Coturnix japonica: one gene and its partner. The protein of the gene in region 2 purifies or fractionates together with the protein of the main gene of each other region. This does not show direct contact. Links are inferred from orthologs where the notes say so. Each region holds a gene or a part of one and is shown on either strand. Other genes may lie near its edges.

Region 1 (3,823 bases), about 5.6 Mb from region 2:
CTTTAGATTTAATGAAAGAGGGCTTCTTTTATTTCTTTAAGAAAAAAAGAGAGAGAAGCAGCTGACTGTTGAAACATTTTTCAGCTTCACTGGCTAGTGGTGTAGCATAGAACACACGAAGAAAAAAGCCCACTGTCATACATCACGTACCATCCACTTTTCAGTGCAGTCGGAAGGAGAGCAAAACATGAAGCCCTACTGAAAACTTATTGCACTTGTTCTACTCAAGACATTTATTGAACAATAGTTGAAACATCTGTTTTTACTTTTTTTTTTTTTTAAAACTTCTACTGAAATACTAAGCTTGAAAATGCTTAGTATTTGCTTTCTGGATGCATTAATCAGTATGCAAATTAATATCACTAGCAGCTAATCACAAATCACTAGATCTGTTACTTCAACTTCTGAGCACTTCTGTACCATAAAGAGTTCTTTACAACATGCATCCAGCAAGTCAGAACACCCAATCTGAATAAAGGAGCCTTTACATACACTCGTGAAGTGGGTTTTTTCATTTTTAAGTTCACAATATGATATATACAATTGTTCAGTCTTTCACTACATCAGAACATAAAGCTTTACAGGACAAACAAAAAAAAAGTTCACTTCACCTGTAGAATGCATCACCAGTGGAAGCCTCTTGAGATGCCTTGTTGATCGATATATTAAGAAATAGCCTCTGCTTCTGATTTTGCTGTGGTGGTGGTGGACATAACGTTCAAAAAACACATGCAGAATCCATAGAATTACCTTTGCAATTATTATGACAGTCTGTACTTTAAATGGGTGAGTATAGTTTCCAGGGCATTTATCCTGATTTGGATTGGGGTAAGAACAAAACATAGCTGCTAAAAACGCTAAAACAACAAAAGCAACCTGAAAGAGAAACAAAAAGGAGAAAACCCAAAGTCAGCAGTCAGCTATACAAAAAAAAGACAGATTGCCATGATTTATTACACATTACTTTCTGTATCAATTTCACTAAAGTTGAGATAAGCTTTACACATTAGATAATCTTACCACAGTCACATGTGATTTGAATAGAGCTGAACAGAGTTGAGAATCACAACTATTTTCAGTATTCCCCCCAAATCAATTTCACTGTTGCCCAAATCTCTAAGATAATTAACCAGACTTCTGGACACTTACCCTCCCCCCCCAACTTTACTTTGAGGGGAAAATAATTCACACAATAAAAGGTGGGGGTTTTTTTGTTTGTTTGTTTTTGTTTTTTAAACCTCATTCAATTAATTGCTCCCTAGGACAGTCCACATTTCTTTCCATAAATAAAAATCTGATGTTTCAATAGTGATAATTAATCTTCTGAAATCCAATCTCCAGATTGACATTAAAGAAAGCAAATCAGCAACTTACTACCTTACACAGTAAATTACTAATATGGCATAAAAAACCCCTAAGGGTAATTCTTATCAGTTTCTTCACTTAGTTCAAAGTTTATCGGAATGACTGGCCTAGTGAAGTTACGTCATAAGCTTTTATGGCTTGTAGGCTTCTCTCCAAGCTTCCAGCATCAACAGTGCAGCACATGCAATCTTCTAAGCAACTAGAAGGCAGAGTCTCTGGTGCAGATTATCTGAGGTATATGCATGTGAAATCCCTACAAAATGTTTTGTTTTTTCACTTTGTGCACATCCACCCCTTTCACACCCTTCAACTTATTTTTGTTATTTCTCAAGCAACTTTGTTCACAGAAGTCAGCCTTTTAGAGCCACTAATTAACTACTGAGGTGAACCACCCTCACAGCTCACTTGAATTCTGAATGGAGTTCATGACTGAGGGGCTAGAGAAAGAATAAGTGGAAAAAGAACAACTTGTATGCAATCATCAGAAAGCAACATGACATCACAGAGGAAAGCCAGGGTAAAATGCAGAAGGAAAAAAGCAGTGGGGGAAAAGCATCTGCATTAGTCTTAAGAGTATAATTCAAAAGCAATTAAAATTCAAGGTTACCTCAGAGATATGATAAGTATCCTAAATGGGAAATAAGTTAAGAAGGTAGTTATCAACAGAACATTTAAGCTATAATGTAACCATCCCCTTTTCTTACAGAGCTAAGAATAATCCATCTAACCTCTGTTTAGTCCACTTATTGTTAGGTTTGCCATTAAGATCTGCAATGCAGCTAGGTCAACTCACTCTAAGTGTAAGAAATGTATTCTAGTACACAAAATGGCTACATTAAGTGGTGCGATACCAGCTGTCATGTTTCAGCATTGCGGCTCTATTCTATGTGTTGACACAAATGAGGAGACAGCTTGCATTAAGAGTGCCATTGAATGAGGATGTTTAGCTTACATTCTGAGGAAGTCCAACACCAAGTTTTCTATCCCAGGTCAAGGTAATTATAGTGTGTGTGTATGTATGTGTATATATACATATATATATATATATATATATGCACACACACACACACTCTGATAGAGTAGAATTCAAGAAGCTCAGTTTTCTTTATGTACACAGACAGAAAAGAGAAAGGGTTAATATAAAGGTATTATTTCTGGTCTGTCTCTTCTACTGCTCTGGAGTCTCTGACAGAAGCCAAAAGCCTTGAGAAAAGCAAGGCTTGGGAAATGCAAAGCCATTCAGAACCCCAGCCCCAACACACACCAGCATAAGGACACTCCAGAATTCAATGTGACTAGGCAAGCACAACTGAAGGAACTGCTTGCTGCCTAGCACCACTTCTGGGTATAGAAAGGAGAAGAACTACACCAAGTATCACACAAATAATTTTATGGCTAATATATATTAAACAATTAAAGCATTATGGCTCTACCTTGCAATACTATAATGAGTTAACTTCTCCAGGATACTTGCTGCATTTGTTGGCTATCCATCATAAGCTAACCTGATGTCTCCACATTCCAGAGTTCATACACATTTGTAGAATTGAGAGGGAAAGGGGAAAAAACCAAACAAAACAAGCTAGCTTTCCCCATCCATCAGCACGCTTCTTTTCCAGCAAGAGATAGCACCGTTTCATGGGCAAATATATTGCTGTACTCCACTGACAGAAAATTATACCTCTCCATTTTGTTCCAGTTACTGACTTGCCCTGGAACATGTTCAGCAAAAGCAGCAAGACTTAACCTGGAAAACAGCATGTTTATACAGACCTGAGCAGAACTTCCTTTACCCTCTATTTCTCTCCTCTTGCAGGAGAGAAGAAAGAAACGGGAACTGAAAGGTTTCTAGCAGTTCTCTAGCATAAGGGTGACAGACATTTCACTACAACTGTTTACAGCAGTAGAAAGAAACAGTCCCAATATTTATTGGAAAGCGTGTAGATTAAAAAGTGTAAAGTGTAGTTCTTTACCATCAACAGCAGTGTCTACCTTCATAATGCAGATCTGAAATGCCATCTGATAGTATCAGTGTTATTCAGGTAGGTGAAACAAGTGCGGCTAAATATTGAGTTTCTATGGGAAATTTTAGCCATCTACTCAGCAGAACAGCAGGAACAGACTTCCCCAGATTTGCTTGACAGAGGGAGATTTGTTGATATTACTAGGAAGCACACAAAACATCTGCTTCTAAAAATAGAAGGCCAGAGCATACTGTTCAAACAGCTTTGAGGCTGAAATTGATTTCTGAAATTCCAGTACAGAATGCTTTGCGTGGGACTGATGATAGAATTTTTGTCATTTACAATTACAGAATTTCTAAGTTTGCTGGTCTTGAGTATTCTCTGGCTTTAAAAGCACACCATTTCCAGGTTTGTATTAACGGCATTATGCCATGAAAGTAATATTCAAGTTTCCTCTTAGGATCACAGCTCTTCACCTGTTCTTCCTGTGAAGT
Region 2 (3,237 bases):
GCTGCAGCACAGAGCGGCCATTCCACCAAGGGGCCCATCACTGCTAACTCCAGGCAGCTCCAAGAGCCACCTCCGACTGACCAACGCACACCGGTGGGAGCAAAGCAGCACTCAGCCACAGACCATGAGCTTCTGTCTTAGTACAGTTCTGGTATGGAACACAGAACTGGAAAAGAAAGGACACTGAAAGCAGCTTTGGACAAGTCAGGTGCTCTTTTCCTTTACAAGTCACTTTCTTTACTACAGAGTATCTGCTTTACGCTCACAATTTCTCACACCTCTTGTGCTCTTACCCGCTTCAAAATTTAGTCTGAGAGAGTAATAATTAGGAGGTTAAAGCCGGATTGATCCTATAAATAACTTCCTAGATTGCAGCTTTTCAGCGTTCCCCTTTTTGCCTGTGAAACTGCAGGGATCTCGGCACAACGCGCTCTCCATCCTCAGAACACCCAACCCTTTTGCTGGGGACCAGTGCTGCCTGCTCTTCTCACAAGTCCTTTTTAGCACACAGCCAGGGCCAAGGCAAGCTGCTATCAGTGAGGTTACACCCTCCCATCCTCATTCCACAACTGAGTTCAGAACAAAAAGGAGAAGACAGTCAAAGAAAGCAACACAAACCGTGTACTTTAGTGGACCTCTGGCTTTTCTGAGCAGCGAGAGCTCTCTAAGACTGAGTCTCAGCAAATAGGGGAGTTACAGGCACACCAGTGCAAAGCAATTGCACACACATCAGCAGTCAGCCTCTCCATACTCATCTTAAACACATGAATTTACTAGGAGAGCAGATGTTCTCCTCAGAGTAGGTTGATTTATTAGCAAGGTACCACCTTTACATTCAGGAGGAAATTCAGACTGGTTCACAGGAACAAGCTGCTAAACGATGAAAGAAGACAACAGCCACAAGCCAAGTTCCAGACAGAAGCACCGCGAGCTTTGTTTTCATTTTCCCACAGCACGAACAATCCTTCTCAGTGCAGCATTCACACCTTTATCACGTGGTTTTAGCTCTATCAATATCTGATAGCTGTACACAACTAGAAGTGTTCTCATATAAAAGGACTAAAGAACAGAAGGAAGGTCTCTCAGTGCCAGCTGTAGTCAACCGCATCTCTCACATGGACACACGTAACCCCACTCACTTCTATGGTGCTCAGAACACTTGCTCCAACAACCACAGGGCAGCTTCAAGTACATTTTCCAATTCATCTCATGCCGTATTATTTTGTTGTGATGTAGTTTTTAATTAAAAAAACCTACCAACGTTTGGTTTGTTTTTAAAGGGACGGGTCAGGAGAAGAGCACAGGGGTGGCAGCAGAGAATTAATTAAGAGATTATACAGACTGATAGCCAGTACGACTTTTTCTTCTTCCAATGATATAAGATATAAAGACAAGAATGATAAGGAAGCCAAGTGCCATGCCAACTGCGATTGGGATAAGAAAGTTGAGGTCAGAATCAGCAAAGCATTCTTCAGCTGCAGAAAGAACAAGAAAACAAACAAAAAACAAGAAAGGGAAGTGAGAACAAATTAGTAAAGGAAACCGAGCATCAGAAACCAAGTAAAGCAAGGAGCAAAGACACTTAACGTTTCCAAGAACATCGTATTACATACGTAATATATTTGAAGTCAAACCAGCATTGAGCAGATTCTTTAAACATGTACTACCCATGTCATTTGCGATTTCTGCACACTGGCCACTCACAACTCAGTTAACAGCAATAAAGTGACATAAAACACAGGCTGGCACAGTGCTGCCTTACCAAAAGACTCCCCAGACCCCCCAGCCACCGCCATTTCTCAAGGCTTTGGACACACAGACGGCTAACAGGCATCAAACCAACTCCTGAGGAATCCAAAGGACAGCCCAGGGACATGTGTTGAAAGCATGGAATGGAAAACACCGAGGGACCATCTTTTGGGTGAGTAACTTTATTTATTTTCAATACAAATACAAGAAAAGTGTTATCGATGTTGGCAGAGAATGATGCAGGTCTGACCGAAACCAACCAAAGAGAACAAAGAGGAGACAGCTGTAATACTACAATAGCTTTCAATACACCAGCTGGAAAGGATGCAATGAACCCCTGAGTGACGCAATCACTCAGAGCAAGCATTAGTGACCAACACTGGGAACTCATTCTGAACTCCATGGTGCACCATGAGCACTCACAGAAGCAGGGCTTAGCATCTGCACCCATTTCAAGACAGAGCAGAGCTCTGTGCCAAGAAGAAACACTCCATAAGATGAGATACCATGTCAGCACGCTGCTCCAGCACTGCAAAGGTGGCAAAGGTGATTGGCTTTCTGCTTTTACAGCAGGTTGTTGCTTTGCTTTTTTGCTTGTGTTTATATTAGAACAGAGCAAGCACCACACTTTGCCAAAAGTTATCAGCTGTTAAGTGAGTATTTAAGCTATCTGAGCATCTGAATCAGCCTCGGTGATGGGAAGTCACCAGCACCACAGCTTTCCAAGAAAGGCTGTGTAAGGCCTTTTGTTCAGAGGTAGGAAAGCAAGAGCACATGGAAACTCAGCACCTAAGAACACTGAGCTCCGGCAAAGCTGAAGGCACCTACTGCCAAGCTGAGCAATGCTCCAAAGTGGGGAAAAAGGAACAAAATGTGTATCTCACACCATGAGCTAAGTGAAGTCATTCTGACTGCTGAAGAAAGTATTGAAGCACCTCAAAAGAGGAAGCTTCAATTGTGCTATGAGTTCAGGCACCTCAGATCACTGGAGATCAACATCTGCAATTTAATTACTACATGCTGGATAATGGGCTATTACTACAAAAGAACTTGCTAGGGATGAAAGGTGCCCAGCAGACAGCAAAAGAAATTCCCTTTTTGTCTTCTTTAAAGGAAGGCAATTGCTGTAACACGTATTACAATACAGCACTGTTGCAAGACACTAACTAACAGTACAAAAAGGTTTAATGTTTGATACCAAGAACATCCCATCTTTCACCTCTCTTTAAGTTTGCCACTGCTGTTGGCTGACACATATCCATGTGTTGCTGCTGCACAAGCGTTAGGAGCTTCTGAGAAGCATCTGACACAACTGGACAATGCACACCTCCACATTTAGGCCGTACGAACGGGGGGCGAATTTTAGCCATTTCATTGAACAGATGTTCAAAATAACCAGAAATTTTGGCTACCAAGATTTTTGGGCCTGATGTGAAAAGTCACCTTCCCTTTTAATTACAATTACGAGATGCAACTAATAGCCCTTTT

Evidence for each region.
Region 1: the proteins of LAMP2 (region 2) and TMEM192 purify together in Homo sapiens (affinity purification with western blotting; 5 studies listed by BioGRID and IntAct, with this or other methods). This does not show direct contact. The link is inferred for Coturnix japonica from reciprocal best matches to the Homo sapiens genes LAMP2 and TMEM192.

Annotation. Positions count from the first base shown.
Region 1 is NC_029519.1:20,889,256-20,893,078, forward strand, and holds part of TMEM192 (transmembrane protein 192), read right to left. Parts: intron 877-3,823; coding exon 612-876; intron 1-611.
Region 2 is NC_029519.1:15,331,222-15,334,458, reverse strand, and holds the end of LAMP2 (lysosome-associated membrane glycoprotein 2), read right to left. Parts: intron 1,476-3,237; coding exon 1,333-1,475; 3' UTR 789-1,332; downstream 1-788. UniProt on the Homo sapiens protein: Lysosomal membrane glycoprotein which plays an important role in lysosome biogenesis, lysosomal pH regulation and autophagy.